Canis lupus familiaris: one gene and its partners. The protein of the gene in region 2 interacts with the protein of the main gene of each other region in a pairwise test. Links are inferred from orthologs where the notes say so. Each region holds a gene or a part of one and is shown on either strand. Other genes may lie near its edges. The genes, in order: SNRPA, NDUFAF3 and NDUFAF4.

The links.
Region 1: the proteins of NDUFAF3 (region 2) and SNRPA interact in binary tests that used the Homo sapiens proteins (3 or more experiments, as listed by UniProt). The two-hybrid records come from large-scale screens. The link is inferred for Canis lupus familiaris from reciprocal best matches to the Homo sapiens genes NDUFAF3 and SNRPA.
Region 3: the proteins of NDUFAF3 (region 2) and NDUFAF4 interact in binary tests that used the Homo sapiens proteins (3 or more experiments, as listed by UniProt). The two-hybrid records come from large-scale screens. The link is inferred for Canis lupus familiaris from reciprocal best matches to the Homo sapiens genes NDUFAF3 and NDUFAF4.

Annotation. Positions count from the first base shown.
Region 1 is NC_049222.1:113,804,947-113,808,590, reverse strand, and holds part of SNRPA (U1 small nuclear ribonucleoprotein A), read left to right. Parts: intron 1-1,152; coding exon 1,153-1,332; intron 1,333-3,644. UniProt on the Homo sapiens protein: Component of the spliceosomal U1 snRNP, which is essential for recognition of the pre-mRNA 5' splice-site and the subsequent assembly of the spliceosome. U1 snRNP is the first snRNP to interact with pre-mRNA.
Region 2 is NC_049241.1:40,548,063-40,551,525, forward strand, and holds NDUFAF3 (NADH dehydrogenase [ubiquinone] 1 alpha subcomplex assembly factor 3), read right to left. Parts: upstream 2,212-3,463; 5' UTR 1,706-2,211; coding exon 1,629-1,705; intron 1,534-1,628; coding exon 1,341-1,533; intron 1,183-1,340; coding exon 1,116-1,182; intron 1,004-1,115; coding exon 903-1,003; intron 824-902; coding exon 707-823; 3' UTR 557-706; downstream 1-556. UniProt on the Homo sapiens protein: Essential factor for the assembly of mitochondrial NADH:ubiquinone oxidoreductase complex (complex I).
Region 3 is NC_049233.1:55,577,833-55,582,212, forward strand, and holds the start of NDUFAF4 (NADH dehydrogenase [ubiquinone] 1 alpha subcomplex assembly factor 4), read right to left. Parts: upstream 2,942-4,380; 5' UTR 2,865-2,941; coding exon 2,729-2,864; intron 2,243-2,728; coding exon 2,115-2,242; intron 1-2,114. UniProt on the Homo sapiens protein: Involved in the assembly of mitochondrial NADH:ubiquinone oxidoreductase complex (complex I). May be involved in cell proliferation and survival of hormone-dependent tumor cells. May be a regulator of breast tumor cell invasion.

The DNA of each region.
Region 1 (3,644 bases), on a different chromosome or scaffold from region 2:
TTCAGACACTCAAGCATGAGTGAGTTCTATCAGGGACAGTGGGGACCCTGCCTTGGAGACATCCACCACTGCCTGTTTCCCCCTCCTCCCCTGTGGCTTCCCGGTCTCTGCTTGGACCCCTGCTCCCCGTGGGCTATTCTCCACACACAGCCCCAGGGCTGCTTCTGGCACACCAGTGAAATCTCACTCTGCGTAAGATACTCCATGGCTCCCAGCTATCTCAGGAAAAAAACCCAAGTTGGACCACCCTTCCCTCTGTGATCTTGTCTCCTCCCTCCTCATCCCCATTGATCTTGAACACACACTGCACACCTTAGTTCTACTGTTCCCTTTACTGAAATGCTTTTCTCTTAACAGGCCTTCCTCCCTCTGTCTCTATGCCAGTGTCACTTCACTGAGGCCTGCCTTAGCCACACTCTGAAACTTTCAATTCTGGGGTTATGTTTTATTTTTTTTTATTTTAAGATTTTATTTATTTGAGAGAGTGAGCAAGCGAGAGAACATGAGCAGGGGGAGGAGCAGAGAGAGGGAGAAGCCATCTCCCCATTGAGCAGGGAGCCCAATGCAGGACTCGATCCTGGGACTCTGAGATCATGAGCTGAGCCGAAGGCAGACACTGAGCCACCCAGGCGCCTCTGAAATTTTCCATCCCCTTTTCCAGTTTTGTTTTTAATCTTTTTCATCATATCTTTCTCACCAAGGAGATCATGAGGGCAGGGACCTTTGATACACTCGTTGCTGTACCCCAGAGTATAGGTTCTCCGTAGACCACTGAGAATCAGCTTTCGCCTGGGAATCTAAACTCCTGTGTGACTAGAACCCCCCTGCATAGTGTTCCTCTCCTAGCCTTGTTTCTTCAGGCATCTGCCTTTGGCCTGATGCTCGGGACTGTCCCATCTTCCCTTCAAAATCCCAACAACTTACTGACTGAATGCCTAGTTTGTGCCAGCTACTGTTCAGAGCACTTAAGCTTATTTAGTTCTTACAGTCCTCCTTTCCAGTGGAAAATCTCAGTTACCATTTTACAGATGAGGATATTGAGGCCAAGTGATTTCCATAACATTGCTCACTGAGCTTCTGGTAAGATCTGCTTTTGTACCCAGGCGATTGGGCCTTGATACACTCCTTAACCTTCTGCTCTTTGTTTGGCAGCGCATTCAGTATGCCAAGACTGACTCGGATATTATTGCCAAGATGAAGGGTACCTTCGTGGAGCGGGACCGCAAGCGGGAGAAGAGGAAGCCCAAAAGCCAGGAGACCCCAGCAGCCAAGAAGGCTGTGCAGGGTGGGGCCGCCGCCCCTGTGGTGGGGGCTGTCCAGGGCCCTGTCCCGGTAAGCCAGGGCTGAGAGACCCTGCCCTCTCTCCCATCAGGCCTTCCTTAGCTGTGTGGCCTGGCGTGTGGGCATGGTGGAGGGTGGAGGTGGTCTCCCCAGGGGTTTGGGCACTCTCCCCTTCCATTTTCTGATGGAAATTGTGCACCTCACTGTGAGGGATTATGCACCTGCGTGATGGAGTCTACATTTGGAAATGGCTTTGTGGTTGCCTGTTTTTCAGATCTTTCTTTCTGTCTCTCTGTTCCTTAGTTTTTTTCTTCCCTTGACTTTGATCCTGTTGTCTATGTTTTTTAAGTTAATGTCTATGCGGAAAACCCAGAAGAAGCCATGAACCAACTTTTTGGGATTAATTAGTGAATTTAATTTAGCAGGGTCATCAGAGAGAAGGTCAGTGTGGAAGAAGTCAGTTTTATTTCTGTGTGCTAGCAGCAAACAGTAGCCTCCAAATTTAAAAATGGCTCAGGAGTAAATCCCATGAAGGGTAAGCAAAATATACTCACTGAAAGTACAGAGCATCTCTGAGAGAAATGGGAGGTGAATTCAGCAAATGGATGGGAGACTCAAAACTTATTAGGAGGGGAAAAATTAAAGAGGAAGACAAACCATGAGAGACTCCTAGCTTTGGAAAATAAAGGGTTCCAGGAGAGGAGGTGGAGGGGGATGGGGTAGCTGGGTGATGAGCTTTAAGGAAGGCACATGATAAGATGAGCACTGGGTGTTATACTATATATTGGCAAATTGGATTTAAATTTTATTTATTTATTCATGAGAGACAGGCAGAGGGAGAGCTGCAGGACTCCATCCCCAGATCCTGGGATCACGACCTGAGCCAAAGGCAGATGCTCAACCGCTGAGCCACCCAGGTGTCCCTGAATTTAAATTTTTAAGAAATACTTACTTACTTACTTATTTATTTATTTATTTATTCATGATAAACACAGAGAGAGAGGCAGAGGGAGAAGTAGGCTCCATGCAGGGAGCACGATGTGTGGGACTTGATCCTGGGACTCCAGGATCACGCCCTGGGCCTCAGGCAGGCGCCCAACCACCCAGGGATCCCCCCTGAATTTAAATTTTAAAACAAACTTGTTAGGATGTCAGTCCTCCAAACTGGCCTAACCCTCAGCACAATTCCAATCAAAATGCCGACAGGAATTCTGGGCATGCTGGCAGTCTTTCCACAGGTATGTGGAAAGGCAAGGAGAATGAAGCAGGGAGGCTGCTGTAGTCATCAAGATGGTGAGATGTTGGCCTGAGGGGAAGAAGAGGGACCAGGTGGCAGAAGAGAGTCCAGAAGTCAGTCCGGTCCACACAGGCATGTTTGTCAGCCAGTGAAGGCACCATTGCGTTCCCGTGGTGAAAGGACTTTATCTTGCTAATAAATGGTGCTGGACGAATCAGATGTCTTTAAGGCAAAGTGTTAGTCCTACCTCAACCATAGAAGTTAGTTTGAGATGAATAGTAGACCTCAGTGTGGCCGTTGAAACAATAAAGATTCTAGAAGGAAACAGGAAAATCTCTTCAGGAACTTTGTGAGGTGGGATCCCTGGGTGGCGCAGCGGTTTAGCGCCTGCCTTTGGCCCAGGGCGCGATCCTGGAGACCCGGGATCGAATCCCATGTCGGGCTCCCGGTGCATGGAGCCTGCTTCTCCCTCTGCCTGTGTCTCTGCCTCTCTCTCTCTCTGTGTGACTATCATAAATAAATAAAATTAAAAAAAAAAATTAAAAAAAAAAAAAAAAGGAACTTTGTGAAGGCATGAGAAGTAGAAACATCCTGTTTTGTAAAACAGAATCGAGAAAGCACGAAGTACTTAAGATAGATGAATTGCCTCTACTCATTTCTGAGTCCCCACAGTGGCTCTGCTGACCGGATTACACCGTACTTGTCCTTTCACTGATACCAGTTCTCACTCTTTGGTGTCAGCAGTGATGTCGGGGTTTCCCTCTGTCTAGTTTCCCTCTTCTTCCCCACTCTCCTCCGCTGCACCCAGCTATATGTGCACCTTTGAGTCCTTAGCGGTGGCTCCAGCTCCAATGGCCCTGTCTCCCTTGGGTGCATGACCTTGTGCCCTTTGGCTGGCTCCCACCTCCCTGCCACCCCTCCATTGCTTTCTCCATCTGTCCTGACTGTCCCTGTCCATCTCTGCCTTCCACTGTCTGCTCCTTTTTTCTCTGTAGGTCTCTTCCCACCCCCACCCCCACCCCCAAGTGTATTTTTGGAAGTAAAACTCCAGCATACTCATTATAGTGTTTATTTTCGCTCTTTTTGTTGACTGTTGTTAGCATTCGATTTTTTCCAGTGTTGTTTT
Region 2 (3,463 bases):
ATCTTTGAGATCTACAGGCAGATGTGGTGGCCAATATCACAGATGCACACAAACACAACACTCATTTGTAGGGAAAGTCTTCAGACCCGGAAGCCAGGATATTCCTTGGATCTGGAAGGAGATACTAGTTCTAGATTCAGAAAGTCCCTCCTGAGCAGCTCACAAGGTAGGTCTGGCCAGTTCTGGCTCCTAACGGTTCAGTCTCACATTGTGGCTGCTTAGGACAGGTCATGGAATAGTCCATGGGGGCTTTGGACTGGCACCCATTGATAGGGCTTCCTGCTAGGCCACATGGGACCAGGCTAAGGCCCACATATGTAGTCTCTAACTTGAATCTCCAAAGGACCTTGTGGAGAAAGCACTGAGAGCCCCTCAAACCTGCATGTGAGCAAGTTAGGTAGATTTGCAGTTTTAACAGGTGCCTACACTGTCTCCTGCCTCTGAGAAGCTAAGTAGTCTAGATAAATAGGGGATCCCCCTTGATTTTTTCACAACTCCCACCATGAGCCCACTGAACCTGTGGCTCCTCCTGGCCAGCAACACATCTAATACAAAATTGGAAAAGTGGATTAAATTATTAATTTGCTGGCAAGAAAGACAAGAGTTACAGTGCCAAAGGGGGAAGGGCTAGTGAGCGCTGCAAACCCCTGCGCTCTGGAAAAAGTGCCAGGGCCTTCCTGGACAGGTTAGGTCAGTTCTTGCTGGTTCACTCTGGAGCTTGTGCCAAAGATGTGAGCATAGTCCCTCCAGGTGGAGGAATAAGAGCAGCTCCTGTTACTCGGCCTTCATGACACAGGAAGTTGAAAGTGGCACAGGCATTGGGCTGCAAAGAGAAAGCCTGCATCAGCTTGGCTAAGGCCAGGCCTGGGCCCTGCTCAGCACTCCCCAGTGGCAGGACTTACCGTATCCTGTACTTCCACCGCGATGCCCCGCTGCTTCAGGGCTTGCAGCACCTGGGGCTGCAGCCGTTCAGTCCGGTCTCCGGTGCCCACCACAACAATCTCTAGGAAAAGACGACCACCACTAGCCAATGGCAGGTGTGTGGGGAAGCTGGGGCGGGGTGGCTTTTGGCTTTCTAGGGCTGGAAGCACCTCAGCCCTCCCCTTCACCAGTACCTATTCGGGGCTCCAGCAACCAGAAGAGCGAGAAGCTTTCTTCGATGATGTCCCGGTGAGTTCCTACCTGTGTTGGGAGGAGGCAGGTTAAACACAAGTTCGCGCAGTTTTCCCCACAGAGCCCTTACCTGCGCCGCAAAGGGGTAATGAAAAAGCCAAGTGTGCCGGGGACAGAATCGGGGGGACGGGCCTGGGACCCTGGCCCTCCGCCTCCTCACTGCTCACGTTCCACTGCACCACCGAGTGCGGGAGCAGCGCGCAGGGCCCAAGGACGCGATTTCCATTGACCATGAAGCCGCGGCTGCTGTAGCTGTCGATATACATGGACTGCGGGGACTCGCGCTGCAGCAGGGAGATGCGCGTCCGCTGATACAGCTCGTCGTCCGCCGGCGTGAGCCGATGCCCTCGCCGTGGGACCCTGCGGAGGGGTATGCTCAGGGCCTAGGGGGCCAGGAGGGGCCGGGCCGCGATCGCCGGCCGAGGGGTGAGGGCAGGAGAATCAGGGACGCTCACCACAGCAGCTCGGCTGGGGCGCAGCGCAACGCCGCTTGCGCTCGGCATAGGCCGCGAAGCACGAACGCGGCGACCATGGCGGACCAATTTGCAGGGAGGCCGGCGCTGGGTCAATCGGGTCGTGGCGGAGCCCACGGCGGCGTGGCGACAGCGCCCCCTGCGTCCCGGAGGGCACCGCGCAGGTCGGCTGCTCCAGCGCAGGATTTTGAGGGAGTCAACTGATGCCAATTGTCCCAGGAGGGCCCATCCCCCAGCGCGGCTCCGGTGTCTGCACCTGCCGCCCGCCCCGCCCCGGGCCCCCGCAGACCGTCCTGGGGGAGTCAGACACCTGGTGGCGCGGCAGGCCTCAGAGTGCAGCCTCGGCCCCCGCCACAACCTGGTCCCCGGCTCTCAGCCATTACGCAGGGCTCTTGGGGACTGGGGCGGAGCGGCCGCGCACCTGGTCGAGTCCCGCACACCTGCTCAGGGCGTGGGGGCCAGCCTCCAATCCCCTAATCCCAGGCTTTGGGGCGTCGGGTTCCCAGGGCGGGGCGGCCGGCTCAGGTTCCCCTCGCTCTCCAGCGAGTCACGCCCCTCCCTAACCGTCACCCGCGCGACCGTTGGCGTCGCCGCCGCGCGTCTCCTGGGGCGTGGCTGCGCGTGGATTGGCTTCTCGGCAGCGCGAGGGGGCGTGGCTGATTGGTTTCGCCTTAAAATGGCTCCGAGTCTGCGGCCGCGGCCAGCGGAAGGGAACGCAGTAGTAGGGAGTTTGTGGCTTTTCGGGTGGGATCGACCGGGCCGACAGGACCAGATACTGAACTAGACAGCGGCTGGAGCATCTCCCTGTCGTCGCTCACTCTGCTCGCGGCCGAGAATTCCCCGCCCCCCGTCTTGAGCCGAATCAGAGGGCCTACTGGCGCGAGAGTCGCTGGCGCCCGCGCGGGTTTCAGGCATCTCCGCGCCCCCACCGTGTCGTGGCCTCAAGGGAACGTTGACGCGTCTGCTACCCACGGGGCTGGGGGGTGGGCGGAGGGAGGTTCGGCAAAGCGGAAGACGGTCGCAATGGAGCCCGTGGGTCGCGTCGCCGCTACTGGGCCCCTGGCGGTCCGGGCGCTGGCAGAGTCACGGGACAAAGGGCCCCGGGTGCGGGGTGTCACCGAGGCGGGTGCGCGGGTTTACTTCCTCTCCGGCCCCACAGGCAAGTTTCTCTTTTGGTCGATCCCGAAGCCCTCCCTGCCACCGTCACTGCACGGTGGCCTGGCTTCATGGGACCAGCAGGCGTAATCCTACCCTGCGGGTCTAATCCGGATCGGGACCGGTCCCAGGGGAGGCTCCCACCAATCTTCCTAGTGTTTGGGGGCCCAGGTGAGCGCCTCGTTCCCACTACACTCGGTTTTACCCTCACTCCTAGGTCTGTCTTCTGGTACTGGGAATCGGGGGTCCTGATCTGGCCCCAGGGCAAGGGACCACCACCACCCCCGCTGGGGCATACCTATCGCCCCCTCCCTCCCCCCGCCCACGGCTGGACAGCGGGCAACGGAATCCCAAAAGCAGCTGTTGTCTCCAGAGCATTCCAGCTGCGCTTGGATTTCGTTCCCTGCTCTCCTGCCAGAGCAGCGTCCTGGCCTAGATGGGGTGGGCCAGCTCCTGACTCCCAGACCTATTTTATTTGGGTCGCCCTGGTCTCCGCCCGTCTCAGGGGCTCCCTCAGGCTGGAAGTGGTGGGCGTAGATGTCGGAGAGCCTGGGTTGTGATCATCTCTGGAACTTGGAGTAGCATTGACAAGGGAGGGCGGTCGCAGGGCCTTCAGTCAGGGCGGCAATGGCGGTGAGTCCCACAGGGCCACCCCAGCCCAC
Region 3 (4,380 bases), on a different chromosome or scaffold from region 2:
TCAGGGCGTGATCCCAGGGTCCTAGGATCGAGTCCCATTATCAGGCTCCCTGCAAGAAGCCTGCTTCTCCTTCTGCATGTCTCTCTCTCTCTCTCTGAATAAATAAATAAAATAAATAATTTAATAATTTAATAAATAAATAAAATAAAGTCTGAATAAATAATAAATAAAATCTGAATAAATAAATAAAATCTTAAAAAAAAAGATCTCCACACACCAAACACTACACTTATTGCCAAATAAAGATTTTAATATAAAACACACAGTTGTAAAAGTACAACAAAGAAATACAGAATACTGTTTTTATTAGAGTCCAGACTTCCAATACGACGAAGAGCAAAAAGGTTAACATGTTTGACAGAATTCTCAACAGCAGTTAAGTTAAAAAAGCCACACAAAAATAAATTATTTGACATACGATATCAGTAATGTCTCAAGACTTCACAAATCATTAAGAAAACTAGGAACTACCCAAAAGAGAAAAATGGACAAAACATAAATAGGTACACTTCAGCAATTTTTTCACTGCCATTCCCCCCAAGTCTTTTTAGTCTTTTCCTAATATCCTAATACCCCCATAAAAAAATTTTTTTAAGGTTTTATTTATTCATGAGAGAGAAAGAGACAGAGAGAGAGAGGCAGAGACATAAGCAGGCCCCATGCAAGGAGCCTGATGTGGGACTCGATCCCGGGTCCAGAATCAGGCCCTGGGCTGAAGGTGGCACTAAACCACTGAGCCATCCGGGCTGCCCTCCCACCTAAAATTATAATACCATTGTGTATCTCTTTATGTATTGTATCTATGTAACTGTATTCATAAAAACTGCTAAGTTTTTTTCACTCCCCAAGGGCCAATTTTTGAATGCATGATTTAATACAGCATGAGATAAACAACAGTTGGAAGTATTACTCAACACCTGTTATTGATGGAAGTACTCAACACAAAGAACATGAACATCAACCCTTCTATCTTTTTTTATGGGAACATCTGGTGATAAATGAGCCCTATAATTGGTATTACATGTAACAATTCACAGACCTTATTTTACATGAATTTTATTTCACTTATCTAATGAAAATTATATTAATAAGTGTATCTGTGCAAACAGTATTGCCTGTCTAGACAGAGAGGGTATCAGAGAATTTTAGAATGGAAAGAAATCTGGGAATTGTCAATGGCACTTCTCTCCCCTTTAATCATACTCTCCCCCCAACTTAGGACCTTCCTGCCCCAACCAACTCATCTAGTTAACTCAGACTCATCTTTCCGGCAGGAGCTTGAATGTCACTTTCTCAAATCACCCAAACCAAACACAAACAGGTCCCTCTGATACACTTACAGTGCCTCTACTTTTCCTTCACAGACCTATTAGTAACTACGTACTTATGGTTGCTCATTTGTTTGTCTGCGTCCCTCACAATATTCTGAGCACCAAGAGCAAGGACTAGGTCTGCTTTGCTCACAACTATACACAAAGCACTTGTGCCTGGCATTTATATATGGATTTATATATAGGTTCCTATTCCCAATGTGTTCTGTAGGCGCCCAATTTTCACATTTCCTATCTGAATACCTTTAAAAAAAAAGAAAAGAAAAACACCGACAACACAACACTAAAGGAATCCCGCAGATCGCAACAAAATTCAATCCACTGAAGGCTGAGAAAATAGTTATTAAAGCTCTTCTTCGGTGATTCAAATGACAACCACCAAAAGTACTGTACCAAATCCTATAAACTGTGAAATAATATCACCCCTACACTTAAGTTTCCCCAACACACTGTACTCTGGTCACAACTACACTGACAGTTTTACACGTGCAGAGCATTCAGTCTCTTTTACTACCTACCACAGGTCTCCTGGTCGTTTTCCTGGGGCACAAGGGGTTAAATTACTTAACCTGCTGAATTATAATTATTATTTTTTAAAGATTTTATTTATCTATGCATGAGAGACACACAAGGAGAGAGAAGGAGAGGCAGAGACAGAGGCAGAGGGAGAAGCAGGCTCCATGCACCGGGAGCCCGACGTGGGACTCGATCCCAGGGCTCCAGGATCAGACCCTGAGCCGAAGGCAGGCGCTAAACCGCTGAGCCACCCGGGCTGCCCCTTACCTGCTGAATTAAAACACACGTTACCTGCAGAGAAGATACAGGATCTCTGGAATCAACATACACATCTCTTAGTAACGACAGCAGTTTGTCATCTTTCCTGTCGATTTCCTCCTTGATTTCCGGATGCTCTAAGGGCAGAAGAAGAAGGTCCCAGTATTAAAACCAGAGAAAATTTCCTCCAAGCTCCCAACGCCTAACAGGAGACGATCCCTTTTAGTTTGTCGCTTGATCCAGAGGCCCTGGGACAACACGCCAGGTGCTGGGCGCGTAAATCAAAACGCCAGGTCAGGCTCGGCGCGCCCGGCTCCGCGAACGCCCGAAGGGGGCACCTCCAAGGCCCCAGACCCCTTCCGCTTCCGGATTCCCCGCAGCAGGTCGGCAGGCGGGGAAGACGCAGGGGTGCCGGGGCCGCACCCGCACCCGCACCCGCAGAACCGCGACGTGAGCGGAGCCGTCGCTCCGCGGCAAGGGCAACGGGCCTCCCCAATGGCACGGGCCTGGGGTCCCGCCTTTCCGCGCCGGGCTGCCGAGTCCCCGCCGCCGCCCCGGGTCACCCCCGCGCGGAGCCCGCCCAGCCGGCCCCGGGCGGACCGACGCGCCCTGCCACCGCTTACGGCTCATCTGCTCCCGCAGGAAGCTCCTGGTGGACGGGTGCCTGGGGGCGGGCGACGGCTTCATCCTGCTGATTTCCCGTTCCGCCCGGTTCTCCAGGTTGAAATTGCGGAGCGCGCGAGCCGCGGCGGCCCCCATCTCCTCACCGCATGACGTCCTCCGGGGCCGCCGCACGTGGGCCAGCGCGCGCCGGCGACCTCGCGGACGCACCGAGCATGCGCGCTGCGGGCCCGACCCGGCCACGCCGGAAGAGCGGCGGCCCAACGCGCCCGCGCGCCCCCCAGCGGTCGGGAGGGCGCGCGGCTCGCCTCCGCCCAGGCGGTGCGGGAGGGAGCGGGCGCCCCGGCGGGAAGCCCCAGGGCAGAGCCAGGTCCCGCCTCCCCGCGCGCCGGCCCGGGGCTGCCGCGCGCTCGCTCCCCGCGGGGCCGACGCTGCGGGCCGAGACTGCGGGCCGGGAACTTGACCTTGCGGTCCACCCGCCCACGGGCCGGGGCGGCCGGAGAAGAGCCAAAGTGAAGCCAAGTGCCCCAGGAGACGGGGCTGCGGAAAGCGCCGGTTCCCAGCCCGGGCGGCACCTGCCTGCGGCCCACGGCGCGGTCCTGCGGGCCCGGGTTCGAGCCCCGCGTCGGGCTCCCTGCAGGAGGCTGCTTCTCCCCCGGCCTGGGTCTCTGTCTCTCCCTCTCTCTGTGTCTCTCATGCATAAATATATAAAAACCTCTTTAAAATGCAAAATAGGGATCCCTGGGTGGCGCAGCGGTTTGGCGCCTGCCTTTGGCCCAGGGCGCGATCCTGGAGACCCGGGATCGAACCCCACATCGGGCCCCCGGTGCATGGAGCCTGCTTCTCCCTCTGCCTGTGTCTCTGCCTCTCTCTTTCTCTCTGTGTGACTATCATTAATTAATTAATTAATTAATTAATTAAAGAAATAAATAAAATGCAAAATAGATCTAAAAAATGATTTAAAAATCTCAAAAGTGTATTCTTGCCCCACGAATATTTGTTCTCACGCTTACTTAAATGCCCTTTGTGTTCCTGCGTCCTCGCCTGATGCCCTTCTGAGCTACCTTGTTCTCTTTCTTTCGAGGTCTTTCACATCCCGCTCTGCTCAGGCAATTTGACTTGACGGAATCGGTTTCAATCATGTTGTCCTCTCTCTGCGGTTTATTTTTTTTTTTTTAATTTTTTAAATACTTATGAGAGCCACGGACTGAGACACAGGCAGAGGGAGAAGCGGACTCCTCGCAGCGAGCCCGATGCGGGACTCGATCCCGCGACCCACGGGTCACTACCTGAGCCAAAGGCAGATACTCAACCACTGAGCCACTCAGGCGTCCCTGGATGGTTTTAAACCAGTGAAAAGGAAAGAATCCATCTAAAGATAATTGAATAAAAGTACTTTTTAAAAAAAAAGAATCAAAGAAAGGGGCAATTTTATTTAAAGAAAATTAATGTAATTATTAACTACGATACTTAATCATAGTGAAAGTACTGCAAAGAACATAGCTTCCACCATCGATTATCATGAAATGTGTCTTTTTTTTTTTCTTTTTTTTTGCTGGGATTGGCCTTTGGAATGGATAGAAGCTGACGCGTTCTCTCTGGTAGAGTTGGGAACTTACCTGAAGGTGGCAGGCTGCTCCAAGATTTTCATCTT